Linked DNA regions of Rattus norvegicus. The protein of the gene in region 1 interacts with the protein of each later gene in a biochemical or structural test. Links are inferred from orthologs where the notes say so. Each region holds a gene or a part of one and is shown in the gene's direction. Other genes may lie near its edges.

The links.
Region 2: the proteins of Spi1 (region 1) and Mecp2 form a complex in vitro, tested with the Homo sapiens proteins (2 studies listed by BioGRID). The link is inferred for Rattus norvegicus from reciprocal best matches to the Homo sapiens genes SPI1 and MECP2.
Region 3: the proteins of Spi1 (region 1) and Irf8 form a complex in vitro, tested with the Homo sapiens proteins (3 studies listed by BioGRID). The link is inferred for Rattus norvegicus from reciprocal best matches to the Homo sapiens genes SPI1 and IRF8.
Region 4: the proteins of Spi1 (region 1) and Irf1 form a complex in vitro, tested with the Homo sapiens proteins (2 studies listed by BioGRID). The link is inferred for Rattus norvegicus from reciprocal best matches to the Homo sapiens genes SPI1 and IRF1.

Annotation. Positions count from the first base shown.
Region 1 is NC_086021.1:97,540,460-97,548,025, forward strand, and holds part of Spi1 (transcription factor PU.1), read left to right. Parts: exon of another isoform or gene 1-1,515; intron 1,516-5,272; coding exon 5,273-5,460; intron 5,461-6,267; coding exon 6,268-6,433; intron 6,434-6,971; exon of another isoform or gene 6,972-7,055; coding exon 7,056-7,375; 3' UTR 7,376-7,566. UniProt on the Homo sapiens protein: Pioneer transcription factor, which controls hematopoietic cell fate by decompacting stem cell heterochromatin and allowing other transcription factors to enter otherwise inaccessible genomic sites.
Region 2 is NC_086039.1:156,939,418-156,946,642, reverse strand, and holds the end of Mecp2 (methyl-CpG-binding protein 2), read left to right. Parts: intron 1-3,430; coding exon 3,431-3,781; intron 3,782-4,282; coding exon 4,283-5,384; 3' UTR 5,385-5,399; downstream 5,400-7,225. UniProt on the Homo sapiens protein: Chromosomal protein that binds to methylated DNA. It can bind specifically to a single methyl-CpG pair. It is not influenced by sequences flanking the methyl-CpGs.
Region 3 is NC_086037.1:65,700,702-65,708,267, forward strand, and holds part of Irf8 (interferon regulatory factor 8), read left to right. Parts: exon of another isoform or gene 1-1,598; intron 1,599-2,187; 5' UTR 2,188-2,188; coding exon 2,189-2,362; intron 2,363-6,103; coding exon 6,104-6,287; intron 6,288-7,566. UniProt on the Homo sapiens protein: Transcription factor that specifically binds to the upstream regulatory region of type I interferon (IFN) and IFN-inducible MHC class I genes (the interferon consensus sequence (ICS)). Can both act as a transcriptional activator or repressor.
Region 4 is NC_086028.1:38,415,158-38,423,407, forward strand, and holds the start of Irf1 (interferon regulatory factor 1), read left to right. Parts: upstream 1-2,777; 5' UTR 2,778-2,966; intron 2,967-3,966; 5' UTR 3,967-3,971; coding exon 3,972-4,058; intron 4,059-5,401; coding exon 5,402-5,501; intron 5,502-6,203; coding exon 6,204-6,430; intron 6,431-6,516; coding exon 6,517-6,649; intron 6,650-6,824; coding exon 6,825-6,947; intron 6,948-7,511; coding exon 7,512-7,561; intron 7,562-8,250. UniProt on the Homo sapiens protein: Transcriptional regulator which displays a remarkable functional diversity in the regulation of cellular responses.

The DNA of each region.
Region 1 (7,566 bases):
CAACTCTCCGCCTCATAGATACACCAGGGGTCCTTTCTGTGCCAGGCACGGGGCTGATGTGGTGAATAGGATACTGGTACATTCAAATCAAGTCTTGTCAGGGGAAGAATTAAAACTCCGACAATCAGGATCGTAGTTGAGAGAAACAAGTACCATGAAGCTCCCTGCTCTCCAGCCCTTGGCAACATGCTTTCAGGCTTCTGGGGAGAGGCTGTTCTGCAGTGGTAGTAATTTCCTAAAAAGGATTTTTTTTTGTTCCCTCCTTTCTGGATTCCTTATCTTCTCTGGTTTGTTTGTTCTGTTCTGTTCTGTTGAGACAGGGCTTCACAACTCATGCTAGCCTTGAACTCCCTACACAGCTCATGCCGGATTTGATGTTCTTCTGCAAAGATGTGTTTTTATTGTTTTAAATTGTGTGTAGGTGTATGTGTCTGATTGTGTGTGTGTGTGTGTGTCTGTGTGTGTGTGTGTGTGTGTGTGTGTTCACGTGTGTGCTAGTGTCCTCAGAGGGCAGAGGTGTCAGATCCCCTGGAACTCGAGTTGTTCTGAGCTGCCTGACATGGCTCTGGGAACTGAATCAGATCCTTTGGGAGAGTCAGTGCTCTTAACCAATGAGCCGTCTCTGCAGCCCCTGATCTTCTGATTTGAGAATACTCTGGCTCTACTGAGGATAGCCCTGGCCTTCAGCTGGGTTTTCTGTGCTGAGGAGATAAGGTCAGCTGAGTGACTCTTAAGGCTTGGTGTTTTTAATCTTAATATCGCCTTGTTTCTTGTCCTTCTTACAACGAAGTAAGAACACAGATGAGTGGGTGGGAACAAAAAAAGATCAAGACAAAAGGATTGGCAGTTGTAGTGTTTTCCACTTGTGATCTCAGCACATGAGACCAACCTATTAAGACCATGTCACAGATGGGCTCTTATTTGGCTGGGTGGCTGAGTGAGTTACAAATGACTGATAGGTAAACGGAGGTTAGGTGATGGGTAGCTAGATAGGTGGATAATGGTTGGATGGATGGGTGTGTACAGACAGATGGACGGGAGCATCAGGAGAGGCTCTCAGGGTCACCATAGGTCTTACTTAAAGCTTACATTACTTAACAGCAGTAGCCTAGATCCTGAGAGCTGGCATGGCATAGTAAGAGTTAAAGCACAATAAAGGTCCCTGGAATTACACAGAAGTGGGCTTGGACATGACACTACACGACTGGGGGCCGCTGTAGACAAAGGACTGGACTTTTGTTTTTAAATTTTGAGATAGGTTCTCTCTCTATGCATCCCTGGAACTTGCTATGTAGACCAAACTGGCCTCAAACCCGCAGAGATCCTCCTGCCTCTGCCTCCCAAGTGCTTGGTTAGAGTCACAGCTTCCTTCACTGTCAAAAGGAAGAGTCCACGCCAGCGTCTGTCTCCTCAGAGCAGAGAGAAGTGGGCTGCATTCTTAGCGAGTTGCCTGGTAGGTTGTAAGTTAGCAGCAGTCATCCTGTCAAGCACTGAGGCCTTCTGCATGGTGGATGCCTACAGGATATAGAAAGTGGACATGGAACTGTCACAGATATACAAATAACCTCTGAAGGACTGAGAGTTATACTAATGCTATGTGGGTGGACGCTAGGCAGAGGGCAAGGTGGCACAATAAAGGGACAAAACAGTTAAGCGCTGCGTTCACTAAGAGTTGGCCAAGCCGGGTACAACGGCACATGCCTGTTATCCTGGTACTTGGGATGCGGACACAGGGGGATCAAGACTTCAAGATCATGCTCTGCTACACAGCAAGTCTAAGGCTAGCCTGTGCTATATGAGACCCTGTCTCAGGAGAGAGAGGGGAGGGAGGGAGGGAAGAGAGAGGAGGAAGGGGGGACGGAGGGGGAGGGAGGGGGAGGGAGAGAGGGAGAGAGAGATAGAGGGAGGAAGAAAGGAAGGAAGACGATGTCAGAACAAAAAGGAAAAGAAAAGAGAGCTGTCTAGAGTCAAGCATGATGGTTCTGTAATGAAGCAAGAGAATCACCATGAACTAAAGGCTATCCTAGGCTACATGACCCATAGGTTCTGGGCCAGCCTGGATTATAGAGTAAGACAGGAGAAATAAGGATCAGGAGGCCAGAAAGGCTGACCTTTGCTCTCTGAATCATTTCTTGGACGCTCTTTCTGGGAGCCCCATATTTGGGATGAGTGTGCCTACCAGACTGCTGGTTACGTAATTGCCTGGGCACCCAAATCAAGGGGAAAGGTGAGGTTTTGAAACCATTGTAGCTCAGGGAGTCCTGGCCATCGCCTTCAGGAGACCGAGCAGGGAGCAGGGTCCCACATTTCCCCACAGTGCCTCACACTACTGTCATCCACGACAGCTTTGGGAAATGCTACTTTAGGCTTCAGAGCTAGCAGAGGTGGGGTGGGGCCAGAAAGAGTTAGGTCAGAGGCCTCAGCTCTCACCTAGAGGACCGCAAACATTCACAGTTCCTGTCTCTGGAGCCAGAGTGGGCTGAGGTAGAGGCAGGGAAAGATAAATGGCAGTGACCTAGAGGAAGCTGTGTCTGCAATCCAAATCACAGAGCCCCATTCTGTCCTTGCTGGTTTAGTGACCTTTGTCTTTAGTTCTGGGGCTCAAACCAGGACCCTGTGCATGAGAGACAAGTGCTTCTACCATTGTGATACAGCCCTAGGCTTTTTTTTTTTTTTTTTGGTTCTTTTTTTCGGAGCTGGGGACCGAACCCAGGGCCTTGCGCTTCCTAGGTAAGCGCTCTACCACTGAGCTAAATCCCCAGCCCCAGCCCTAGGCTTTTTGTTTTTGTCTTAAGATAAGATCTGCTTTCTAGCCCAAGATAGCCTCAAACTTTTTTTTTTTTTTTGGTTCTTTTTTTTTGGAGCTGGGGACCAAACCCAGGGCCTTGCGCTTGCTAGGCAAGCGCTCTACCACTGAGCTAAATCCCCAACCCAGCCTCAAACTTTTAAAAACATATTTTTTATTATTTACTTGTCTCTGTCTCTGTGTGTCTCTGTGTGTCTTTGTGTCTCTCTGTCTCTGTCTCTGTGTGTGTGTGTGTGTGTGTGTGTGTCTGTGTGTGTGTGTGTGTGTGTGTGTGTGTGTGTGTGTTCACATGTATGCTTTAGGAGTCCAGAAGAGGGTGCTGTTGACAAGGGTGGTCTTGAACTCACAGAGATCTCTCTGCCTCTGCTTCTGGAGTTCTGGGATTAAAGACATGTGCCAGCGTGCCTAGCTTGCCTTTGATGTTCTTTCCTCTATTTTCTGATTATTGGAATTACAGATGTGCTAGCTCAGGCTTTTTAGGACAAATATGAGTGTGACAGGAGTCAATGTTCTTCTTTTGTGCCATGTTCTGTTCTAAGTACTCCCCCAGGCATCAGATAGCTCATGCACTCACAGTGTATAAATAAAATGGGTATAAACTATTAGACCCACTCAGATGAGGAAACTGAGGTCTAGGAGCATGCAGCAGTAAATGCATCCCGGGTTTGTCTGCAGCTCCAAGGTGTGCACTTTTTCTTTTGTGCCACAGGGTCCCCTAGAGATCGCTCAGACAATATGGCACATGGACAGGGTCTTGGTAACAACCTTTTAAGAGGGGAGTCAGAGACTCAGTGGGGAAAAAATGTCTAGGCTCATACAGCCCAACACCACTTAGCAGGACAAGAAAGCTAGAGCCAGGCATGTAAGCTGAAACCTCAAAAGACTAAGTCAGGATGATCACAAGTTCAAACACAGCCTGGATGAGACCCTGCCTCAAAAACAAGGATTGGTGAAACGGCTCAGTAGACGAAGGCACTTACTGCCCCCAACCTGAGTTTGATCTTGGGACCCCTGAGGTGGAAGGAGGGAACAGACTCCTGAAAGTTGTCATGTGACCTCCACACGTGCACAGCATATCTGGCCCCTCCCAATAAACAAATAAATAAAAGCAATTTAAAAAAGAGTCCTGTGATATTGGTGCACAGCTGGAATGCATACGCATACGTCCTTTCTCAGAGGATGTGTGAGTCAGGATATGTTTGTGTGACAGACATAGAAAAAGCAAGAAGATCATAGGTACACATACCTGCGCGTGCACACACATGCACACACACGCACACACGCATACGCTCACTCGCTCACATGCATGCAGGCACACGCACACATGTGTACATGGAGGACTTCCCCTGGTCCCCCACCTTCCACACTCCTTTAGGCCACAAGAGGAAATCCTTCTCCTAACACCATGCTTTCATGTTTTTCTTTCTCTTCTTTTTTTTTTTTTCTTTTTTTCAGGGCTTCCTAAGCAAGCGCTCTACCACTGAGCCAAATCCCCAACCCCTTTCTTTCTCTTCTTAAATTCATTTATAGATTATATGTGTGTATGTTCTCCTGTGCGGCACCATGCTGAATCCAGGTCATCATGCTCAGTGGTGAGAGCTTTTACCAGCTGAGCCATCGCTAACTCCATACCATACTTTTCTTTTGGAGCCCAAATTGTGCCCCAAAGTCCCTCAGATTGGCAGGAACTTTTGTTCCTAGAAAAGGTGCAGGGAGAAACCACATCGCAGATCTTCCCAGGGCTGTGAGGCTGCTTCCTGAAGTTGGGTTCACCCTTCCACAGACACCAGACACTCACGGGGGCTTTCTGGGGAAATGTCTTCCTTCAGTCTCCCGGGAACCTGGGTGTGGCTGCCCCTGGTTTTACAGAAGCAGCACTATAGGTTTGGACAAACTCTGGTATGTGAGAAATGTCAGTCCTGTGACTTCGATCATACCCTGACCATGTGACAGGACCCATGCTTGTGACTTAGGTAGTCAGGAGCCTGGGGAAGGTCACAGAGACAGGAAAAGCAGTCAGTTTTCTAAGGCCTGCTGTGGGTCTAGAAGCCCTTACGAATGTAAGCTTATTTGTATTCTCCCAATAGCAATTCTACCTATTTTATAGGTTAGTCCACTGAGGCCAGAGAGGCCTAGGCCGGTGCTGAGGTCACACAGCCAACAAATGGCAAAGCCAGGATTCAGGCTAGGGCTCAGAAGCCCGTGTCTGGGCCCAATCAGGAAGCAGGATACGGAGTGGCTGCTGATAACCACTCCAGGCATGACTGTTAGGGGCTTTGATACTGACATTTAGGAAACCTCTGTAGGCCTCAGAGTCCTTTCTATAAAGCAGCAGTGGAGTGAGTGAACATCACAGGAGATGATTCATGTAAACTTTCTGCCCAGGCTGAGTGATTGTTCTGTTATTGTACCCTCTCCCTGCCCTGGCACCTTGGCTCATGCCCTCCTCCCTGGCTTTCTCCATAGATCACTATTGGGATTTCTCCACACACCATGTACACAGCGAGTTTGAGAGCTTCCCTGAGAACCACTTCACGGAGCTGCAGAGCGTGCAGCCCCCGCAGCTACAGCAGCTCTACCGCCACATGGAGCTGGAGCAGATGCACGTCCTTGACACCCCCATGGCACCGCCCCATGCCAGCCTCAGTCACCAGGTGCGTGCTGCTGGCTGTCCTCTGTCCCCCAGGCCTCCAGCCTGTGGTGAGGCATGGAGCCTTCACAGGAAGCTGACATAGGCTCTTACTCAACGTGGCTTCCTGCTCTACAGAGCCAACGGCAGCTGGTACCCCAACGGCTGTGGTGACCTCCCGCCTGACCTTAGGAACCCACACCTTTATCTCACAGAGGATGGACAGACTGCATAGGATCCGCTAGCCCTCAGCCATCTTCTCCCACCCCGTTCCTGTTTGTGGCCCTCAGGGTCCCATTGATTACAGTTCCCATTTACTATCTTTTCACGTACCCAGAATCTGAGTCACTTAAGTGCTAGCCTCTACTGATGCCCTGGTTCCCTGTTGATCTTCATTGCTGACCGTTCTTTGCTCCAGGGACCCTAACCCCAACTACTGATCTCAGCCATCCCTCACTGACCTCCACTCCACTTTCATTGGTGCATTACCCCCTTCTCAGGGCTCACTCACTTCCTTATCAAGCCTAACTTATTGCTCCCAAGAACGTCCCCTCTATTTCTAGTCCACTGCCAGGCCACATGGCCCCTTTACATGCACGAGGATAAAGCACACCTTCACCTGCCCTAAACCAGAGGCCACAGTGGGAAGGCTCAATAACTAGCAACCCATTGACCTGCACCCCCGAGTCCTGGTCCAGACTGGCCCCTAGTTTTCTCTTCTCAGTCCTCGCCCTGCTGACCTCTCTACAGCACTCGGTCTCCAAGTCAGCTGAGCCCTCCTGCAGCCCTGGGCTATCCCTTATCAACTTCATGTTCTTCCTTCCTTTTGCAGGTTTCCTACATGCCCCGGGTGTGCTTCCCTTATCCACCCTTGTCCCCAGCCCACCAGCAGAGCTCAGATGAGGAGGAGGGTGAGAGGCAGAGCCCTCCACTGGAGGTGTCTGATGGAGAAGCTGATGGCTTGGAGCCTGGGCCAGGCCTTCTGCATGGGGAGACAGGTAGGATTCAGCCCAGGATCCAGATGACACTAGCTGCATTTATATTTATGTGCTTTGCATATTCCTAGCCAAAGGCCAAATGGCCTAGCAGCCATGTTCCATACAGGTGTGTGTGTGTGTGTGTGTGTGTGTGTGTGTGCATGCATGTTTGTGGATGCTTCTTTAGTACAGGTCTCTAAGTCTGTCTGTGTTGTGAGTAAACAGGCATATTTTCAAAGTTCACGAAGGTCTGTGTGTGTGCATCAGTATTGTGTGAGTGGCACACTGTGTATACGTGAAGGCCTATGAGTGTTCGGGGGCCTGTGGGTGTGTGTAACATCTTGTGAGTGTGTGTGGACTTATGAGTGTGTGAGGGCCTGTGAGTGTGTTAGGTCTTCTGTGTGAATGCCTGCATGTAAGGCCCTTGGATAGGCATGTAGATATGTGAGAGCAGATGTGGATATATGTATGGATATGTGTGACCTGTAGGTATGAGGACTTGTATACATGGAGGGTTATGTCCATGAGTGGGAGTGGACATGTGTGTGCTTGTACTTACCGTGGCCGGGAGGAGCTGCAGGGAGGGTCCCTGCAAAGTCCTTGCATCCTGTCCACACTCTACTTGCTTGCCCATCTCCCACAGGCAGCAAGAAGAAGATTCGTTTGTACCAGTTCCTGCTGGACCTGCTGCGTAGCGGAGACATGAAGGACAGCATCTGGTGGGTGGACAAGGACAAAGGTACCTTCCAGTTCTCGTCCAAGCACAAGGAGGCGCTGGCGCACCGCTGGGGCATCCAGAAGGGAAACCGCAAGAAGATGACCTACCAGAAGATGGCGCGCGCGCTGCGCAACTACGGCAAGACGGGCGAGGTGAAGAAAGTCAAGAAGAAGCTCACTTACCAGTTCAGCGGCGAGGTGCTGGGCCGTGGGGGCCTGGCTGAGCGGCGCCTCCCGCCCCACTGATCGCCTGCAGAGCCCGCCAGGCTCCCGGCCCCCGCCGGCCATAGCATTAACCTGTCGCCCGGCCCGGACACAGGGAGGACATTCCCAGGGCCGAGGCAGGACTGGGGACCCGGCCTCGCCCCGCCATGCCCCGCCTGGCCGGCCCCGCCCGCTTCGCCTCCCACCAGGACTCTAGCCAGGCCCAAGGGCTG
Region 2 (7,225 bases), on another chromosome or scaffold:
CTAAATCCATTATAAGTCCTCTTACCTGGCCATAAACCGGATGGACAGTGACCTCAGACAAGTTTCTTTGTGTAGTTGGTCTTACTTTTCCTTTATCTATGAACATTCCAAAGTTGGAACATGGTGGTTTTTCTGAGGATATTTCTAATTTTGAATTATATAAACATATTGAACTAGATGCTTGGTTCTTCAAAAAAAATCATAGAAAGAGGGAGGGACAGGAGTTGGGGACTAGAGAACAACAAAAGAAACACATGTATGGTTTGATGAGAGAGAGGATAAAAGGGTATTTGGTTTCTTTGGAAATGTCCTTCACTAAACATCATAGACCCTCTTGGAGGGCAACCTTAGGAAGTCATCTGGCATCACAACCTAGCCCTTCTCTGTTGAATCCTATAGTGATGACCACTCACCCTAGGGCTGAACAGGCCCTTGGACAAGTGTCAGCTCATTGGAATTACAGCAGTTATATCTTTTTTACCTTCACTCCACATCAGAAAGAATCAAGGCTGCTTTGTGGGGTTTTGTTAATTTTTTTTTAATTTATATGTCATGTGTGTTCCTGCTTGTCTGTATGTGCACCACATGCATGCAGGAGCTGACAAAGGCCAGCAACAAAGAGTGTCAGATCCCCCAGAACTGGAATTACAAGTGGTTCTGAGTGGTCATGAGGATGCTGGAAAGCTGAGAACCAAACCTGGTTCCTCTGCAAGGGCAGTAGGTGCTCTTAACCACTGAGCCATATCTCCAGCTCTGGTACTTGTTTTTAAATAGAGAACTTGTTTGTAATCCCAGCACTGAGGACAATTGAGGTCAGGGGGCTGGTCTTAGCTACAGAGTGATTCATGGATAGACCAATCTCAGTATTTCTAATTTCCTCCCTTTTCCTTCCCCCTTAACTAGCAATGAGAAAATAGAATCCCAAACATCTGTGTGCCTTTCGGTATGCAGAATTAAAAATCACAATATAGTCGTTATTTTCTACAAATGTTTTCAATTTGAAAGGATATAACTCAATAAAGTACAACTGGGGCCCCCACATTTATAGCTAGTAGCTGCAGAAATGCTATTGAGTGCCTGTTCCTCACTCAGACTTCCCTTTCTAATCCATTGGCACTACTGTCTGCCCACAGTTCTTAACTTAGTGTTCTGCCTTGTTGATTCCCCCACTGTACAGATCCCAAATTCATTACTGCCTACATCCTTGGCCATGCCTAGGCTATTGCTAAAAGTTTTTCTTGACTCCCCCACCCCCCACTGTTTTTGTACTCCCATCCCTAGCTTTACCGGCACTACAGGATGTCCCAGAATCAGAGTCACCCATTTCACCTTTGAGCTGGTTTAATGTATATACTGCCCCTGGAATATTACTGTTGGCTTTGGAATATATCCCACTACAAAAGTATTGTGGTCAAAAGTTAGTCTTTTTGTGTAGTACATTATATTTGATAATATAGTTAAACTTCTTTGTTCTTGTTTGCATGTATTATAATATTATAGCTTTGTTACTTCTTAGTTATGTAAAGACTTATGATTCATTAGAAAAATATATATTCTGAGAAGTGTTCAGCAAGAGTTCTTACCTTGTTTTCACTTACTCTAGACTTCCGTTAGTTTCTAAGCTAACCTACAATCCTATACACCTGATCCGTATGGGAAATATGTCTGCAGTTTGTTTTGTTTTCTTTACATCAAAAAAGATCATGATACTCATCTAGCTACACAACCTTCTAGTATGTAGGTGTCCCATAGTTGATTCTCCTAGTCTCCTTGGTGATGAGGCTCTGAGAGGCCTGCATTCTTAGCTAGTAAAAATAAAATTTTAGTGAAAATCATATGCCCTTTTTGTTAGATTTCTAGAAAGTGTTCCTTTGCTCATGTAGTTTGTTTTTGATGGTGGTTCACATATTTCACAATATAAGTGAAAATTCCAAAGAAGCCTGCCGGCCCTCTTAGTCTAGTAGTTTTCTCAAACTCAAGTTCATAATCAGGGAAGCAGCACTGATATTCAAAGGGGGCCTGTGAAGTTACATGCATGTGATGAGTACCTGTTGGCTTTTGTCTTGCCAGCTTTGCTGGTGAGTACCCCCCTCTTTTCTTCTGTCACTGAGAGAGTCTGAATAAGCCAGTCTGAAGATTGAACTGTAAGCTGACTGCAGGTTTCCAAGCGCACATCACAGCCCTAATTCTCTTAGTTTTAGGCCAATAGGCAGCTGCTACTTCTTTCCAAACCTTTCTTGGTTTGGCCTGTAGCTCAGAGGTGCAGTGTGGCCAGATTCTAGTCAGAGAAAGACTCGCTGTGTTTCCCTACAGTGGTCATTAAAGCATCAGAGACAGGCTTTGAACCCTAAAGTACATGAAGGGACCCCACAAAGAAGAACCAAAACCTGTAGAAGGAGGCTATTTCTGTCCACAAGTAAGAATAGGCAGGTGTCCTATACTTGAATTGGTAGTTATCATTTTCCATACACTGTTCTATTACATCTTTCTCTTTCTTCGGTTTCTGCTAAGGATAGGGTTTTGTTTTTGTTTTGTTGTTTTGGTTCCCCTTGGTTTGGTTTGGTTTGGTTTTTGGTGGTTGGTGAGTTGTTTTTTTTTTTGGGGGGGGGGCGGTATTTTGTGGTAAAGACCCGTGTGACCCAAGATTCCTTTTTTCTCATACTGGAACCCTAGGCAGCAGTTGCTAATTGACTGAGTTAGCAATAGTTATACAGTACCTTGGGGCCTTTTGTCCATGATTCTCACAAAAAGAATGCATCAGGGATGAGATTATATTATCTAATGTTGAGATGAGGAAACTGGGGCTTACACTGCTGAAATCTCTTGCTGCAGTCCTTGCTTTGAATTGGAAAGTCAGGGGGCTGAAGCAATGGTTCAGAAGTTAAGAGCTCTGGCTACTCTTCCAGCAGACCTGGATTCATTTCCCAGCAATCACAGGGTGGATCACAACCATCTGTAACTTCAGTCCCAAGAGATCCAATGCCCTTTTCTGGCTTTGCTGTATTATTTTATTTATCTTACATGTTTTGTCTTGTCATGTGGCAAGCCCAAGGGGCCATTAGGTGCAACTTACAAACTGACTTCTGACAGTGGTATGTTAAGAAGCCAGCCCTACAGTGCTTATATTCCAGAAAAAAAATTAAAAAAAAAAAAAAACATGTGCCACTTTAAGAGCATTAGAACTAGGGTTTGGAGAAGTATGATAAAAGTTGAATGTGTTTGACCAACATCACCAACTACCTAAAGCTGCTAAAGAAATCTTTGGGCCCCAGCTTGGCCCAAAGATACATTGTCCTAGGGAAGTTACCAAAATCAGAGAGAGTATGCAGCAGCCAGGGGTCTCATGTGTGGCATTCAAGCTCACCTATACTCACTACTGTGCAGACAGCTATGCTCTCTGTAATACTTACATATTTGTTTAATACTTCAGGGAGGAAAAGTCAGAAGACCAGGATCTCCAGGGCCTCAAAGAGAAACCCCTGAAGTTTAAGAAGGTGAAGAAAGACAAGAAGGAAGACAAAGAGGGCAAACATGAACCACTACAGCCTTCAGCCCACCATTCTGCAGAGCCAGCAGAGGCAGGCAAAGCAGAGACATCAGAAAGCTCAGGCTCTGCCCCAGCAGTACCAGAAGCCTCTGCTTCTCCCAAACAGCGACGTTCCATCATTCGTGACCGGGGACCTATGTATGATGACCCCACCTTGCCTGAAGGTTGGACGCGAAAGCTTAAACAGAGGAAGTCTGGTCGCTCTGCTGGAAAGTATGATGTATATTTGATCAAGTAAGTAAGAGCAAGTCTTGTGTCTACAGAACAGGGAAGGCCAGGTGGGTGGGAAGGCTAGGATGCAAAAGCTTTATTGCACTGAAATGGCTTCCCAAAGAGGCTGGACATCATGCCTTGGTTAAAATGCAGAAATGTGTTGGTGTTGGGTTAAGTCTGGGTACCAACCAACAGATTGGACCCAGCCCAATGTTCACCAAGTACCAGGCCTCACCCGTTTGGTTTCAGTATTGTGGAGAAGCAGGAAGTACAGAGAAGTGTGCTTGAAAGTGGGCAGGTCCTCTGTTTTCAGATTCAGCTGCATTGGCTTCTGAGCAAGCTGTAACATGATTTCTACTATGCATCTGACCTAGGTGTGCCCTCCAATAATTTTAGCACTTCAGTTTGTTGTTCATTTACAATGTCTTAGAAGAAAGCTTGTCAGTACTACATTTTCTAAGTCAGTCTCTACGTTATCAAAAAGCTTCTGACTATTGTTTGTCTCTCTGTTTGTCTCTACAGTCCCCAGGGAAAAGCCTTTCGCTCTAAAGTAGAATTGATTGCATATTTTGAAAAGGTGGGAGACACCTCCTTGGACCCTAATGATTTTGACTTCACTGTAACTGGGAGAGGGAGCCCTTCCAGGAGAGAACAGAAACCACCTAAGAAGCCCAAATCTCCCAAAGCTCCAGGAACTGGCAGGGGTCGGGGACGCCCGAAAGGGAGCGGCACTGGGAGACCAAAGGCAGCAGCATCAGAAGGTGTTCAAGTGAAAAGGGTCCTGGAGAAGAGCCCTGGGAAACTTCTCGTCAAGATGCCTTTCCAAGCATCACCTGGGGGTAAGGGTGAGGGAGGTGGGGCTACCACATCTGCGCAGGTCATGGTGATCAAACGCCCTGGCAGAAAGCGAAAAGCTGAAGCTGACCCCCAGGCCATTCCTAAGAAACGGGGTAGAAAGCCTGGGAGTGTGGTGGCAGCTGCTGCTGCAGAGGCCAAAAAGAAAGCTGTGAAGGAATCTTCTATACGGTCTGTGCAGGAGACTGTGCTCCCCATCAAGAAGCGCAAGACCCGGGAAACCGTCAGCATTGAGGTCAAGGAGGTGGTGAAGCCCCTGCTGGTGTCTACACTTGGTGAGAAGAGTGGAAAGGGACTGAAGACATGCAAGAGCCCTGGGCGTAAAAGCAAGGAGAGCAGCCCCAAGGGGCGCAGCAGCAGTGCCTCCTCACCACCTAAGAAGGAGCACCATCATCACCACCATCACGCAGAGTCCCCAAAGGCCCCCATGCCATTGCTTCCACCTCCACCCCCACCTGAGCCTCAGAGCTCTGAGGACCCCATCAGCCCCCCTGAGCCTCAGGACTTGAGCAGCAGCATCTGCAAAGAGGAGAAGATGCCCCGAGCAGGCTCACTGGAAAGCGATGGCTGCCCCAAGGAGCCAGCTAAGACTCAGCCCATGGTTGCTGCCGCCGCCACCACCACCACCACCACCACCACCACAGTTGCAGAAAAGTACAAACACCGAGGGGAGGGAGAGCGCAAAGACATTGTTTCATCCTCCATGCCGAGGCCAAACAGAGAGGAGCCTGTGGACAGCCGGACGCCCGTGACCGAGAGAGTTAGCTGACTTTACATAGAGCGGATTGCAAAGCAAACCAACAAGAATAAAGGCAGCTGTTGTCTCTTCTCCTTATGGGTAGGGCTCTGACAAAGCTTCCCGATTAACTGAAATAAAAAATATTTTTTTTTCTTTCAGTAAACTTAGAGTTTCGTGGCTTCGGGGTGGGAGTAGTTGGAGCATTGGGATGTTTTTCTTACCGACAAGCACAGTCAGGTTGAAGACCTAACCAGGGCCAGAAGTAGCTTTGCACTTTTCTAAACTAGGCTCCTTCAACAAGGCTTGCTGCAGATACTACTGACCAGACAAGCTGTTGACCAGGCACTCCCCACAACAACAACCCCCTCCCTCCTCACCCCACCCCTATCCCCTGTGTGCTCATTAGAGAGGGCAATTGAGAGGACACTCCCATTTTTGGTGCCACTGATGCCCTGTCCATAGCTTCCCTGACTTTTACACCACCCCAACTCCCAATCTGAGGGACTGGGAGGTGTGACGCAGGAGAAACTATATAGGACTCTTGGGAGAAGACTATAGAGTTGGCAAGTGATTGCGCCCCAGTAATTCCAACTGTGGTAGCACAAGTCTGGCTCCACACCAACCCAATCCAAAACTGACAAGGACATTTTGCAAAAAATGAAAGTGGCATTTGTCTGATCCAGCTCTGGCATGGCTAGAGATGAGTCTTAAACTGTTGGCTTATAAACTGGCCTGAGCAACAGAAGAGGATGGCCCAGAGTAAAGTGTCATCATCTGTTCACAAGGCATGCTCCCCTAGAAGTTCATGCTAAAGAAGTGCCATGGAGGCAGCAGGACAAAGTACAGGCTAGGTGGAGTCAAGCCAGGCCTAGTGCCACAGAGCAAGAGAGCAGTCTCTGACTAGTAGTTAAGGGGGAAGAAAGAAAAATATTCTTCCAATTGCTTTCCAGTTCTCCTTTAGGGACAGCTTAGAATTATTTGCACTATTGAGTCTTCATGTTCCCACTTCAAAACAAATAGATGCTCTGAAAGCAAACTGGCTTGAAATGGTGACACTGTCCCACAAGCCACCAGACAATGGCAGTGTTCAGAACTACCTGTATATGTATATACCTGGGCTTGTTTTAAAGTGGGCTCAGCACATAGGGTTCCCACGAAGCTCCGAAACTCTAAGTGTTTGCTGCAATTTTATAAGGACTTCCTGATTGCTTTCTCTTTTGTCCTTCCATTTCTTCCTTCCATTTCATGTTTTCATTTCTTCCCCTAGCTTCTAGTTGTTTCTGTTCCAGGCAGCTGCAGTGCCCAACCACATGCTTACCTGACAGCAGTCAGCTGCAGTCCTAGGATTCTCTCTGCCCTTTAACTTCCCAGTGCCAGTGCCAGGTATCATGTTTAACCTTGAGCAAGCGATGGGCTCTTCTGAGCCCTCCCTAGCCTCTGTGAAGAACAAGAAGGTAGGAAGCTCTTGCTCTTGCTAAGAAAAAAGTCAAAAGGCTTTCAGACCCTAAACAATAAGTCTTTTTACCTTCTACTTTAGAAAAGTGGACTAGAGCATCTGGGTCACATGTGGTAGCTCAAGGAGATACAGAGGCCCATATGGCCTGCCAGAATCATTGCATGGCCCAACAGGGGCTCCAGGCCCATTACCCTCAACCCTACTCAGAAGTCTAATGCCAAGCTTAGTGTGGGCAGGGTACCTGTCAGGACAGATGGAGACCTGAGCATGGAATGACACCAGGGCCCCTGGCCCTTCTTCTGACGTGCGCGCGTGCGCGCACACACACACAGACACACACACACACACACACAAGTTTTTTTCTAGTGGGATTCTTAACCTCTTGCTCACTGGGGACTGGGCAGTGTCAGCACAT
Region 3 (7,566 bases), on another chromosome or scaffold:
CCTCCCCATCTCTTCCCTTCTGTGTGTAGAAGAGACTGGGTTAAAGGATTTTAGCTTCCCAGCTTTCATGGTCTGTGATTCACCTTTCATTTCAATGACCCCTTTTCTCTGTCCCCCACTAAGACAGCTGCCCTTTACAGTTCTGGGGTGTCGGGCCCCCGAGGATCCCTGACAAGAAGGTGTTGTTTCTGTTCTGGAAGAAACTCCAGCCACGCCAGTGAACTCTTTTTAGATTTCAGGAGGTTCAGGAACCATGGGGTACGATTCACAAATCCATCTCCAGGGGTTAAATGGAGGCTTTCAATTGACATAGCCTCAGATACTCTGGACACCCCACCCAGCTCCCATCCCACAGTCATCCTTAGAGGCCACACAAGACACTATCAAGCCAGGAGAGCCCCCGCTCTCCTCTCCAGAACAAGGTGTAGAAGCCAGCACCCTACTTGGTTTGGGGGGGGGTACCTGGTAGCATTTTATTTCTTTCCCTAGGTATTCCTTTCTGACCTGTCATTTATGAATACAGTGGTCTTGGAATTCTCAGTTTCTTGAGCTAGCCCCTCTTTCCTGCTTTTCTTTTTCTTTCTTTCTTTTTTTTCCCCCAGAGCTGGGGACAGAACCCAGGGCCTTGCGCTTCCTAAAGCGCTCTACCACTGAGCCAAATCCCCAACCCCTTTCCTGCTTTTCTTGGGAGGGTCCTTAGACTGAGGAGTCAATGGCTTCCCAAGGCGAAGCCCCTTGCTGAGGTCAGGGTTTCCCAGCCATCTTGCTGTTTTGTTTGAGCGGTGCCTCAGGCAGCAGAGCGCATGCCTAGCAGGCACAAACCCTGGGTCCAGTCCCCAGCAAGGGGGAAATGGAGGCAGAAGGATCAGGAGTTCAAGACCATCTTCATCAACCTAGGGAATTGGAGGTCAGGTCAGGATCTGAGATTCTGTCTCAAAAATAGAACCCAAAATGGACTGGAGTCTGACTCTGCTTCCAGCCCTCACCCCCTTCCAAGCCCACTGGTGGCAGCTGGGGCCGCTGGAGAGAAAAGCTAGGGCCCGCCCTGGAGAGACCTCACCTCCCTCTTCTCAGGCTGCTGCCGGCTTTCCTGGGCCCAGGGCCACCTGGCGCAGCCTGGAGTTCCTGACCCGTGAACCTCTTATCCTGACTGCTATGTTGCTTTGTGGGACATGCTGGCTCTGGAAGTGACTGTTCTCCGGGGGGGGGGGGTTGGGGGGGAACATCTTATCTCCTCACCGATGATTACTTCTTTCTTCCCCTGCCCCAAGAGGTCATTTTAGTTGGAAGGCTAGAAGTACTATGTTCTGGTTTCCAGGGTGGGCGTCTGTCCAACTGCCTTGGGGATTTCCAGGCTGTTCTAGTAAATGCTGGCTGCAAGTCTGTATGCACAAATGCTCTCTTTCCCCAAGCTGAAGGCAAAGTTTCAGGATACTGCCGGTGAGAATGTCTAAGTGTGCCGTTAGGGTGTCTGGGGATGGAATCCCTGAGCTGGCTTTGTACCGTTCCTTTGTTCTCACCGAGGGTTGATCATAAAAGTTCCTGAGGAACTACCTGTATGGCTGGAGGAGTCCTTTAGGACACAGGCTCTGACGCAGGTACTTTACACTCACAGCTCCCAGACCAAATTCTTAACACTCTAAGGTGAAATGGCTGCAAGGTCACCGAGCTGGAACACGACTCCAGTTCAAACCCCACGCCAGCGGGAACAGAACCCTATTACTCTTTAAGATCTTCCTGTTACCACCCTAGCTAGCAAAGGCAGTTTGCAAGTAGCCTCGAGGGTGCTCTCTTTCTCAGGTGGTGCTGGGGTCAAAGTCTGTGAGGAACACCAGTCCCCCCATGGGAATCAGTCGTCAGGGTGGTTCTCAGAGCGGTGGGCAGTTCATGGAAAGCACTGAATCATGGGAGAGGGGCTTCTTCCCAGCAGGTGCCCTCAATGTCTAGGACAGGAGGTCAGGGAAGAGCTGGACCCACATCCAGAGCCGTGGGTGGGGCACATCTGTGAACAGCCTTTCGGTTTTCCTTTGGGTTTAGGACTACCAGGCACTGCTAATTGCTCATGTCGCTGGCCCAGATGTCTCCCAAGCCGGCGCCTTTGTGTGCACCTCTGATCTTCCTGTCTGTCGGGTCCCGGATTGCTCTGACTCACAGAGACGTTATACCGAAGTCTGTTTTCTTTCCGAGGATGTGTGACCGGAATGGCGGGCGGCGGCTGCGACAGTGGCTGATCGAACAGATTGACAGCAGCATGTACCCGGGGCTGATCTGGGAGAGTGAGGAGAAGACCCTGTTCCGCATCCCCTGGAAACACGCAGGCAAGCAAGACTACAACCAGGAAGTGGACGCTTCAATCTTCAAGGTACAGTCCCCCGCGCCCCCACGCCCCGTCTCTGGTTTCCCTCTGGCTCTGGAGGTATTTAGGAATGTCCTATGACTAAATAGCCCAGGATCTCAAGAGAAACAAGGAGGGGTGCCTGGTTCTGGCACGTTCCCTCACGGGGTGGAGAGTGACTTTCCTGTCCCTCTCTGCACCCTTGGTGTACAGCCATGCTCCGCCCGGCGGCGTACTGAGGAAGGCTCCAGGCTTTGCTCTTTCAAAGCCTGAGTCCTTCTTGGCACGGTGGGACCAGCTATGAGGGTGACAGGCTTCTACAGTTGCTTCCGGGTCAGGTTCAAGGGGCATCCTGAGCTTTTGCTTAATGTCTCCCTCTGAGGGGACTGAATGCTATCACTGAGGGCAAGCCACATAGCTAAGCTGAGAGCCAGCATCCTCCCCCTGGGTGGCAGGTGCTGGTCCTGTTTGCGTTCCGTAGGGCCGTGAGAGAAGTGGCTTCTCCAGGGTCTCCGAGCTCCTGTGCGATAGAACCTGCATTTGGGATCGGTTGGTCCAAGGTCTTGACTCTTTACAGTATGGAGAACTAGGGTGATTTCTCCTTAAGGTCCCATGAGGGTTGCTCTAGTCACCTATGAGTGTTTCTAAGGCCTTGGGCGTCTACATTTCTCTCTGGGAGTTTCAGAGCCCTAGGTCATGGTCAGCCCACACTTCTACTTTGTGAACTGCAGCTGTAGCCTTAGTGGTTTGACCCAGAGCCCAGGTTGTAAACCGCTACCCTTAGTTCTGTATGTTGTTGGGAGCTGGGGCTGGGGTTGGAAGGTTATGAGGACCATGAGACCCACTGAGCTGCTGAGGACAAGAAACTGACTCGAGACTGTTTTTAAGCGGGGAGCAGGACCTGTAGAGACTCTGACTGCCAAGACTGTCATGGATGTTGTACTCCAGGGGCACAGTATCCCCTTTCCAGTGACAACTCTGAACCAGGCATATCGTGATTAGCATTGACAGTAAGCTCAGGAAGGCACAGTGTGCTTGGTTGAAAGAGCATCACGAATCTTCCAGAAAAAAAAAGGTCAGAATTCTGGACCAGGGGCCTCAGTTGTTGCAGGAGACAGCAGATCTCTCTTCATCCAGTTCCCTGCTTCAGCAAACCAGGAGCCCTGAAATAAAGCCCCAGATTTATGCATCTTATGCAACGTTCTTCATGGCCAGCGAGCCGTTTCAACAGCACCGAGGAGAATGCGCAAGATTCCCAATGTTTCCGTTGGTTACGCAGTCGCTCTGTGTGGCAATCTGAAATGAGACATCAATCTCAGCAGGAATGGCAGGAGATCAACGGGTGCCCACTTGATCGGGAGGTGGGCAAGTGGCAGGAGACACGGGGTGATGAGGGTCTTCTCTGAGTTGTCCTGTGTGGGGCGGGTACCTCCCTATCATCTGTCAGGCACAACTTGGCTGTTGAAGGAACCATATGATATGGCCTTGGGCAGATAGAACCATCTTGGGGGCTGTCTGCTTAAGTAAGAAACCCACTTTTCTCAGCCAGTTAAATTCTTTAAAAATGTAGGTGCTGGGGGTTGGGGATTTAGCTCAGTGGTAGAGCGCTTGCCTAGCAAGCTCAAGGCCCTGGGTTCGGTCCCCAGCTCCGAAAAAACAAACAAACAAACAAAAAATGTAGGTGCTGAGGAAAAGGTATACGCTTGCTTTTCTACCAGGGAAAGGGATTACACCAGAGAGCCCTGCCACTGTCTACGGGCAGCGTCTTGGGGCCTGCTTCCTGTGTAGACCACAGAAAGAGAATGAAAAAGATACTGAGCTTATGTCAATCAGGCAAGGGCTGAGATTCCTATAAATAATAGGCTTAATTATTTATCACTTACTCTATGTACAGAGGGCCTTGAAGGATGGGACAGGGGTTAATTTTACTTTATTTTGAGTTGAGAACTTACGTAGTCCGGGCTGATCTCAAACTTGCCACGTAGCTGAGGAAGACCGTGACCTTCTGATCCCCCTGCCTCTACCTCCCGAGTGTTCAGATTACTGGTGTGGACCACCATACTTGGTTTCTACGGTGCTGAGGATTGAACCCAAGGTTCATGCACGCTGAGCAAGTATCCCTTATCAACTGAGCTACACTGCCCAGTGTTAATTTTTAAGGCACAGTACCACACGATGTCAGCAGAGGAAAACTTCAAGCAGTAGGTGCCTCTGTGGGTCCCAGGACCACCCATTCTATAGCTTCAGCCCTGGAGACCGTGCAGCTAAGATAGCCCTTTAGAGATGAGCAGATCTCTAAGCTCAGGGTAGTCCCATGCTGGTACCCAGTGCTGTCTCAGATGCTCCCTGACTGTGGAGTCTGATTTGATACCCGAGGCCTCCAGGCTTCCCTCGAAGAGGAACCATGAGCCCAGAATGAAGGGATAAACTGGGGAATGCTGTGAGACACCACAGATCTATCCCTTGCCTGCCGACTGGGAAACGGCCGCGGTATCTATGCTTCCTCAGGTGCCTAAATCACCCAATGATTTTTGGGGGAGGGGGTGGCAGATGTTCCAGGTTGCTATATCCAGGGAGAGGTACTGCTGGAGAATGCCTTCATGTGTAGGATGGTCTTCACTATGTCCGTGGTGAAGAGGCAGAAACTTCCAGTAAGCCCAGCCCCAAAGTCACTGTTCCAGTCACTCCAGCTGTTCTTGTCTGCTTTTGAGTTCACGACAGCCCCACAAGTCAGTGTGTGGCCAGCAACGCCATTTACAACAAGGGCCAGAATTGGAAACTGTCTACTTAAAAAAAAATATTTCTAAAAGTGGGTTTGCAACTATGTCAGAGAGGAAGTGACCACTCAGGCCCGGGGGGTTGGAATGTTCCTCTAGCTTCTTGCTGAGCAGAAATACAAGATTTGGCATCAACAGTGCAGAGAGCATTGCCCTAGAACATAAGTGTCCCCTGTAGGTGTACATGTGCGTGTGTGTGCGCATTTGGAGGCCAGAGGTCCGTGCTGGGCGTCTCTGTCTATCACTGTCCACCTGTGTTCGTTAGACAAAAGATCTCACTGAACCTGGAGCTCAGGGATTAGGCTAGGCTGGCTGCCAACAAACTCTGGGGATTCTGTTGCCCTGTCCCCAGTGCTGGGGTCAAAGGCACACATACCCATCTTTTTCTGTGGGTACTGGGGATTTGAACCCGGGCCTTCATGCTTACATGGCAAGCACTGTATTAAGTAGGCCCCTGCTTTTAATTCCTGGTCTTTGCTTTGATCATAAGCTTTGGACAGGTTGGAAAAAATGGAATTTAAAAAAAAAAAAAGGGAGAACAATTCACTGAGTCTTAAATGGCTAGAGTCATGCAAAAATGCAAAAGCAAATTTTTCTATTAAAAGGAGAGAGTGGTGGATACGTGTGTTCCTTTTCATGCTCTGGGCATTATTTGAAAAGGCAGAAAGTCTTTGACTGTGCTAGTGAAGTCATCTACACCTTCCTCTTCAGGCTTCGTAACCTGAGGCCCCCCAGGCCCGTCAAGCCAGAAGACTTTGCTGAAGATGCATCCTAGGGTGTGGGTTCAAATTCCAGCCTTGCTGCGTGGTTTTGGGGGACCCTCTTGCTGGTTCAGATGCAGTGGTCTTCGTGAAGTCCTGACCTTGGACAAGGGTTGATGGCCAGGAACGACTCTGGGGAGCGGGGTGGTGTGCAGCCTGCCTTGGGGTTGAACTCTGTGGTTTGTGTCCTTCTGTGTTTACTGCATTTCTCTCTCTCTCTCTCTCTTCAGGCCTGGGCAGTTTTTAAAGGGAAGTTTAAAGAGGGAGACAAAGCTGAGCCAGCCACGTGGAAGACACGGTTACGCTGCGCTCTGAACAAGAGCCCGGATTTTGAAGAGGTGACCGACCGGTCCCAGCTGGACATTTCCGAGCCATACAAAGTTTACCGAATCGTCCCCGAGGAAGAGCAAAAATGTAACTATCTGTTGGGACCACGAAGCCTTCTAGAACCTTCCCTGCTCTGCTCCTGAAACCTTCGGTCTCCACAGGGCCATGCCGCCCACAGGGTTTGGGCGCCCGCTTTTAGCAAACCAAACTTGTTCTCTCTTGTGTAAGCAGACACCGAGAGCTGGTCTGCTGACCTCACAGGCACGCACGCACGCCATGTGCTGTCAAGTGGCGGCTTCCTGCAGAGGGAGTGGCCGAGTGGGGGTGGGGAAGGGTGGTGGACTCTGGGTCAGAGCAGGAAGCTGGCAGAGCCCCTGGAGCTCAGCGTAAACTTGCCCGAATGCGTCCCGAGGCTCTGCTGAAGTCTGCCATGCAGAATTCCCTTTTGCTGTCTAGCATTTTGCAGGGGAGGCTGGGGAGGAGTGGGCAAGGCAGGGATGGGCAGTAAGGCCCAGTGAAAAGGTCTCCCGGTTAGGCAGGTCAGAAGTGGGGACTTCACCGATGGCCTCAGTGTGTCACTGCTGGCAGGGATAACATCATCCCCAAGTTGTCTCTCCAGCGGTGAAGCATCTGTAAAGGAATGAAGGCACATTGACCTTCCCCATTAGAGTTTCATGGCTCCCAGGGCCTGGCCAGTTCTGTACTGTTTCTGGAAGGTCAGACAGCCACACTTCCTGGCTTGTTTGCCTTCGCAGTGATTTGAAGCAATAGGGAAGTTTCTTTCGGAGCCCTGTTCCCCCAGGATCAGCCAGGCTTGCCCTGGTAGATGGCCCTGACTTGTTTATAGCATGGGTGGAGCCCCATCACCGGCAGTGTCTGGGTGAAGGAGAGCAGAGGAAAGTAGCATTTGCATAGTATTTCCCCTGGTATACTGTACTGTGAACTTGAGTGATTTGCTAGCCTCTCCAGGTGGGTGGGTGGGTGGGTGGGTGGGTGGGTGAGTGGGTGAGGCTCTTGCCCTCTGCTTGTCCAACAATGGCCTCTAGGTGAATCTCTCCCTCTGGATGAAGCAATGGGGAGATCACACAGGTTCCTGGGAGTGTGGAGCCTTGGGGGTGGGGTGGGGGCTGTTTGTTAGTCCTGCTGTGTCTCCTGGAGGTTAACCTCTGATGGCAAATGTCTGACCAGGGAAGAGATACCAAGTTAGTCCGAACCCATCTGGACCAGGATACCAGCAGATAAAAGCATTGGCCCTCTTGGCAGGCAGGCAGAGACTGTGAGTGAAATGGCATGTGTGTGACTTCACCATGTGGCCGGGGTGTGACACACACACACACACACACACACACACACACACACACACGGA
Region 4 (8,250 bases), on another chromosome or scaffold:
TTCGAGAAGCCCAATGTGGGTGCTAGAGTCCAAACTCAGGTCATCTGCAAGAGCAGCAAGATCTCTTCTCACCAGCTTTCCTCCAGCCCCAGGGGATCACCAAAAGCACAAGATTTCAGACTCAGCTCTCTCTATATTCTGTTTTCCACACTTTTCTAAGAACAACCGAAGGAGCAGGAAGTGGAGTGGGAAGACAGAGTTTGAGCTGAGGATGTAGCTCAGTTAGCATAGAGCTTGCCTGGCGTGTACAAAGCCTAGGTCCCACTCCCAGTGCCAGATAGTCTCAATGAAGTGGTGTGGACCAGCGTGCTCAGCGTTGGATAGGCTAAAAGCAAGTGCAGAATTTAAGGTCAGCCTGGGATATGGTGAGCTGTTTCAAAAAAAAAAAATTTAGAAACTGACTTGTGGTGGTGCATGCCTAGAATCCCAGCACTTGGGTGGTAGATACAGATAGCTCTCTATGAGTCTGAGAGTAGCCTGGTCTACAGAGGAAACTCTGTATGGCAGTCAAGGCTACATAGAGAAACCCTGCCTTGACCCTCCCCACCCCCACCCCCCAAAAATTGAAAACTCAATAAAGACTAAAACAACAACAAAACACACCCCCCCCCCCCAAAAAACACAGCCCTGCACCCAATCATAGGCAGACTCTTTATCGTTTAAAATCAAGTACCAGGCAAGCATGTCAGTATTGACTTGTAATCCCAGCACCTGGGAAAAGGAAGCAGAAAGATGAGTTGTTCAAGGCTAACCCAGGCTACAAGAGATCCTTTTCCAAAAAAATCAAAATAAATTAAAAAAAAGTCAAAGTGGGGGGAAAAGAAACCTCTCACAGAACATTTAAACGATGGAAATGCCAGTTTCACTGGTAAGTCCTAGCAGTGAGGGTGGGACCGAGGTGTCTGCTAAGGGGAAGATTGAGTGTTTGTGTGTGTGTGTGTGTGTGTGTGTGTGTGTGTGTGTGTGTGTGTAGAGACTTTGCTCACAGTGTTGTCTCTATAGAGGAAAAAGTGGAAATAACCTAAATGTCCTACAAGAGGGTATTTAGTGGGTAAATTTTTATTTATCCTTATGACAGAAAACAGGTACCCATCACTCACCAATGCTGCAGACGGACATTCCAGGACACAGGCTGACTTTCACTATGTATACCCACACAGGTATTTTAATGCAATTTGCAGTCTCCTGGTGCTTTCAATAGGGTCTCTGAGGGCTGCAAGAGTTAGTTACAAAGTTCCTCTCCCTAATCTCATTTTGAATTTTCCTTGGCTGTGTCAGAGTATCTCAACAGAGCAAGTATCCATCTGCTCTAAGGAGAGCAGGTGTCATGATTCTGAGTCATGCGTTCAGAAGTCCCCTCCCCCAACCCGGTCTCTAGCGATTCTCGTTTGCCACTTCAAAATACTCCAAATGCCACCTCCCTATTTATTCTAGAGTCTCGATACCTTCTTCCAAGATCCTCCTGCCATCTTGAATCTCTTAGCTCCCGAATCTCCTCTTCGAGGCAGTGACATTGAGATCATTCACTGATGTGTGTATTAGAGCTTGCAACATTAAACTGGGTGCTGTCCTAGACGGACAGCTAGGGCGAGGAAGGTGACACAGGAGAATGACACCATAGAGGGTTGATGTAAATGCTGTGGGGAAGTGAAGGAAGAAGCCCGAGGAGCCAGAGTTCGGCATGGAACATGTACACACTAGCCCAGCCGCTAGGAGAAAACAAACTGGCAAGGTTTACTCTTGCGCACTAGTTAACCCGCTGCCCTTGCCAACCCTCTGGGACCTGGGTCCCCGATTCTGGCCACAGTTTCCCTATGCTGCCCGGAACTTCTCCAGAGCCAGGCTTTGGGGACTCAGAAATGCCTTCAAGACTATCAGAGAGGAACTTTCTCCCAAAGGCTACAGAGAGGATGTAGAGCTGAAGCAGGAGTCCTAGAAGGAACCACAGTCACTTCTGAATTTTCTCCACTTTCAGGTAGTCCCAGAGATACAAGGGAGAAGGGTCACCTTGTTCACTGCTAGAACCTCGTGAGGCACAGGAAAGCACACACACCATCTCTCCCCATCAGGACGCGGTGTGTCTCCCTGAAACTCCCATCGCTGCAGACTAGTGAGTGGGCTATTGCCATTTTGAGGTTAAGGAAATTAAGAGTCCCTGCGTCCTTCAACAGCTGTGCCTGCAGAGTCCAGGCTGGGAGTTCCTACCGCCTTGCATTCTAAGTTAGGCCTTCTGCCTCAACTTCTCAAAGCAGCAAGTGGCCGTTAAGAGAGTTATCATCTAAAGCAGTATAGGGACCGAATCCCTCCCTTTTTGACACTTCATTACCAGACTGATTTTCAGGGTGATTCGGTCCGGGGGTCCCTTCTGGAGAAGGAAGCAGGTGTTCTGGAGACCTAGGGAGTTAGGTGTCTCCGGTGGAGGAGAAGGGGGAGACCGCCACATGAACCAGCAGGCTAGGAGCCTACAGGACGAGAGGGAGGGCCTCGGCTTTCCAAGACAGGCAAGGGGGCCGGGGGTGGAGTGGAGCACGGGGCGGGCCCGCGGGAGCCCCGGGGCGGTGGCGCGGGCCGAGGGGGTGGGGAGCGCAGCCGCCTTGTACTTCCCCTTCGCCGCTTAGCTCTACAACAGCCTGATTTCCCCGAAATGATGAGGCGAAGTGGGCCAATGGGCGCGCGCGAGCGGCCCGGCGGGGGCGTGGCCGAGTTCGGGCCGGGGAATCCCGCTAAGTGTTTAGATTTCTTCGCGGCGCCGCCGACTCGCCAGTGCGCACTACTCCTTCGTCGAGGTAGGACGAGCTCTCACTGTCTGAGCCAAACCGAACCGGGCCGAGCTGAGCCGAGGTCAGCGGTGGCCAGAGGAACCCAGCATCTCGGGCATCATTCGCTCCGTGCACGCATCGTGTACCTACACCGCAACTCCGTGCCTCATTCCCGGGTACCCTCTGTGACTCGCTCCTGCAGCAAAGGTAAGCCCGCCGGGGCTGCACGGGTACGGACGGGCGGCGTGAAACAAAAGGCGCCCGGGGCACCAGGAAGTGGGGGCCAGAGACACCCTGGGTCGGGGTGGCTCGCTGGCTGGGGAGGGCGCCGCGAGCGAGCGGCCGGGAGGCGGGCCGCGGCGTGCACCGCCCCCTGGCCGCGCTCGGCGGTCTGCGTGCGCGGAGCCGCTGCGGGGCCTCTCGGTAGCCCAGAGCGGCCATCGCGCGCACCCGCTAGCAGCGCCGGGGACTCGGATGTCCGCCCGCGCGCAGTTTTGGCGGTCGCAGCTTGACGCCTGGGCTGTAGGTTTCGAACGCGCAGTGTTCAGTGGCAGAGGTTGGCTCGCTGCCTTGACTGGCTGGACCCGGTCGTGAACTACAAGGCTTTCGGGAGGAGGTGCCACAGGTGTTGCTTGCGCCACTTCTCTTTGCAGCAGGGGAAACCAGGCCGGAAGGGGTTGTGCCCCGGGCTGTATGTTGTGGGCACTAGCTGTCAAGAGGGGATGTAGTCTGGATTGGAATGGGTGGGGGGAAGTGCCCTGGAGGGTGACTTGCTTGCCCAGCCTGGAAGGTGTAGAGCTGGGGGTGACAACAAGCAAAGCAGTCCCTTCCATCCTCCAAAGATTGAATTTTGAGAAAAAAAAGTTATGTGTTTTGCGCACCCCCACCCCCACTTTTTTTTGTACATATATCCTGAAACCATTCAGACAGACTTGCTTGGTTGTTTCTTCCTGAGGCTGGCTGGGAGAGACCGAGATAATGGGCAGGTGGCTTTGCCTATGGTGCTGCCAAGTTTCATTCTACTGTAGGGTCCTTTCTCTATGACTGTGGGACCTGTTACCTGGTTGATGGCAGGAGAGTGGGGGAGGGTAACGACCTGGGTGAGGACCGGGGAAGGTAATTGAGTGATCGGCCTTGGGTGGAGCAGGGCAGTGCCCAGGATTGTTTAACAGACTCTAAACACAGGCCTTCTGTCTTCTCCCTCCAGCCACCATGCCTATCACTCGGATGCGAATGAGACCCTGGCTAGAGATGCAGATTAATTCCAACCAAATTCCAGGGCTGAGCTGGATCAATAAAGTGAGTGTTCTCCTGGGTATTTCTGCTGTTTTAACCCATGTTCTCTTGGGGGGACTCAAGTTCCATTATCGAACATGAGAGCAGGAAAATGTGTTTCCTAGTGGGTGCTGCATGCCAGAACGGCTAAGGTCTGACTTCTGCCGCTTGCTTCTTCCTTCCTGAAGCTGTGGCCAGTCCACCCTCCTAGTGGCAGGCACAGTCTCAGCACCAAGACTTCCCAGCATCTGCAGAGCCCGGGGTCTTCTCTTCCAAGAGAAATGCTGTATCCCTAACATTCCACATAGCTCCAGTTGGATAGACAGGAGACAGAAAAGCGGTCGATGCTGGTTAGGAACAGGGCTAGTTAAGTAGGAACCCAAGAAGTCACAGTTGGCACACCTGGCAGTAGAGCAGCAGTGACAGCATTGGTTATAATGATTATGTGCTTAGCACCGTTTAAATATGATACCAAGTTGCACATTTTAATTGTCATAGTAATCCTGAGAGGTGGGTCTCAGAGAAGGAAACTGAGGCACTTTAAGATAGATTACAAGGTGGTAAAAAGTGTGAAACCCAAACTTGGTTGAAAATGGATACGTTAGCCAGTAGTAACAAGAATGGTGGTAAGATCCTCATCTTAGGGCTGGCTCAGCAGATAAAGGCACCTTCCAGCAAGCCTGACAGCCTGACTTTGATCCCTAATCTCCTCATGGAAAAGGAGAGTACGAACTCCTACAGGTTGTCCTTGGACCTGTACACGGGTGCCGCGGCTTGCGCGCACGTCCAACACGTACACACATAATACATGCATAAAAATTAAAAAATAAAAGCAAAACCTTATTCATTGTGGCTGTTGTCCCCACACATAGATAAACCTTTTCTCTTTGAGTTCTGTCTTATTTAAGGGGAGAGGAATAGGCCAGTACTATACAGGCAGTCCTCATCCAGGTCTGGCCCAGGGCTCCCTTGGGTGTATGAGCAGGACCCTATATAGGAGCCAATGTGCTTGGTGTCCTGAGGAGACTGCAGCTAGAAGTTTCCATGTTCCAATGCTCATTAGCCAGAGATAAACAAGCAGCCAACACCTGCCAGGCCAGGGCCGAGAGGGCACTGCTTAGGTTCTTGCTTACCCCAGGAGCTAAGGCAGGGGTGTCTTTGTTGACCTTCTAGTGCTGTGGCTCGTCAGAACTTAGACCCCCTTCCTAAAAGATGCAGAGCGCCTACCCGTTAAAGGCAGCTGGGATGGGTCAATCTAGGCCAGATGTCGGGGTGAAAAGGGGAAGTCAGCCTTTTCCCATACTTGGGGACCCGTGCATACTCAGCCGCACTCGGAGCTGACACAGTCTTCTATGTGCACTGTTCAGGAAGAGATGATCTTCCAGATCCCATGGAAGCATGCTGCCAAGCACGGTTGGGACATCAACAAGGATGCCTGTCTGTTCCGGAGCTGGGCCATTCACACAGGTGTGCAGGGTGGGGGAGGGGCAGAGGAGAGACAGAGGGGATACAGGCTACCATCCATGCTCTGGGTGGCCTCTCAGTTCCCCGACACAGCGTGCAGAATTATTGGAACCAGGGGATGAGGTGCACCTGTATTTTTAAGGCAAAAATGTTAGAAAGTATGTGTACTTTCAGGGGTCTGTCTAGACTGCAGTTGTCCCGTAGAAAAGACAGTTGTGCATCAGGGTACCCAGACACTTCTATCTTCCTTTCTCAAGGTCCTAACTAAAGGTCCTTGACCCAAGCCCCATCTGGTTGGTGGCCGGCCCCCCTTTCTTCTTTCAGGAATCAGGCACTTGATCCTATTCAGACCTGTTAGTAACTGTCCTTGTTGCCAGCTCTGTGCCCACTTGTACTTCACAAACATCAGATAAGCCTCAGTCCCAGAAGTCTCTGGCTGCTGAGAACGTAAGCAGGGAGACAGTTTCGGTCCAAGACAGTTAGCACATGTATGGGGGGTAGAGACACTCAAGTGAGCCTATTTGAGCCCTTCCCATCCCTGCTGGATATCTGAGCCAACTCTGGGCATATGAGAACCCCCAGGACTTGTTGACAGTGGTTTTTGCTAGTTAACCCCTGTATGGATGTCTGGGGTGGGGTACCCTTGCCTTTCTTCTCCCAGCCCAGAGAGCGGCTGATGGATGAATTTATTCTCCTGGTCTGTAGGCCGATACAAAGCAGGGGAAAAAGAGCCAGATCCCAAGACTTGGAAGGCAAACTTCCGGTGTGCCATGAACTCCCTACCAGACATCGAGGAAGTGAAGGACCAGAGCAGGAACAAGGGCAGCTCTGCTGTACGCGTGTACCGGATGCTGCCACCCCTCACCAAGAACCAGAGGAAAGAGAGAAAGTCCAAGTCCAGCCGTGACACTAAGAGCAAAACCAAGAGGAAGGTGAGCTTGACTCTAAGCAGCCCAGCCTTAGGTAGGGGGGCAGTGGGTAAGTGCCACAGCAGGCCTAAGCTGTTTCCTCTCTGTAGCTGTGCGGAGATTCTAGCCCTGACACCTTATCTGACGGACTGAGCAGCTCTACTCTGCCTGATGACCACAGCAGTTACACAGCTCAGGGATACCTGGGTCAGGACTTGGACATGGACAGGGACATTACCCCAGGTGAGGTCGCCACTGTGGCAAGGGCGCTTTTAGGTTCCACCCAAGAGGCATCGTGGGAACAGAGAAGAGTGTGGGGCATAATCATGGGACTCTGTCAGGGAAGCGTGCAGGGTGGAGGGGCTCAGGTATTGCAAACTAAGAGAGCACGCCCGTCCTGACTTGCACCTTCTCCCAGCTCTGTCACCGTGCGTCGTCAGCAGCAGTCTCTCTGAGTGGCATATGCAGATGGACATCATGCCAGACAGCACCACTGATCTGTACAACTTGCAGGTGTCGCCCATGCCCTCCACCTCTGAAGGTTTGTACTCTTAGGGACTGGCCTGCCTCATGTGCGTCTTGAGGGGGAATAGAGTCTGCCTAGAAATCTATGTGCCAAGCTGGGCATTGGCACCCACCTTTAATTCCAGCATTAGGAGGCCAGCCTTGTCTACATAGTGAGTTCTAGAACAGCTAGGCCTTCACAGAGAAACCACTGTGGGGTGGAGGTGAAGAAACCTATGTGCCTTTGAGCCAATGGAGCCGGGCACTGCTTACCCTATCCCCATAGCAAGAAAGCAAGTTCCTGAGACACAAAACCGTTCAGAGCTTTCATGTGCTCAAGGCCAAGAGGGAGGGAATTGGGCCACATCTTGGTCAAAGGTGGCTAGTGCTCCTGGCTTCCCCGCACTCAGTTGTCTGAGGGTGAGGAAGGAAGTGAAGGGGTGGGATGCGGCCTTGCTCTGTAGTTGGGGAGGGTGAGTCATCAAGCCAGTGTCCTGTTCTGGAATCTCCAGGGCAGGCAGATGCTGGTTGGGAGGCTTGGGGAGGTGGCGGGGAGCTGCAGGGCAAACATTCATGGCCAACCTCTTGTCCCTCCTCACAGCTGCAACAGATGAGGATGAGGAAGGGAAGTTACCTGAGGACATCATGAAGGTAAATCCCTTTGCATATTGCATCCGGGAAGAGAAGGCAAGCTAGGGACAGCTTGCAAGTCACTTAGGGCAGGTGCTGTAATCTGGCTACCTATGCAGTTCCGCAAGTGCCCCTACTTCATGTGTTGGGGGAACTGTTGCCTCAGCAGGTGAGAAGCCTAGTCTCTAACAGGCCATGCTCCAGCAAGCCTCAGGGTCCCAGACAGCTCTGAGTCAGCACCCCCCTGAGCACTGTGTCCTCCGCCCCAGCATACCCAGCCCGTCAGGTTTGGGTAATGCACATCAGGTTTCAATAATCAGCTTTTGGGATCTGTACTAGGATGGCTTTAGGAAAAATAAATAAAACCCTCTGGTTTTTGTTTTTGTTTTTTTTTTCTTAGCAAGTTCTAAATGGTGGTTTACTTTTTCAGCTGCAGTTTTCTAAGTGACCATTAAAGATTCTGAGGTAGTTTTAGCTCGAGTCTGGCCCTTGAGCACCGAACTTTGAGATGTGGATCCATCCAGGTCCTTGTCTCCGTCTTTCCTGGCTTGTTATGCTAACCTTTGCTTTAAGCTGCCTGCCAGTTGCCATGTCCTTCCCAGCAGAGGGAAATCATGCAGATTCTGTGCCAGAGGGTGGAGGCGAGATGAGAGGGATGGTGACACACAGGAGGGGCCAGCAGGGCCCAGGTAGCTTCGTGCTCCCTTACT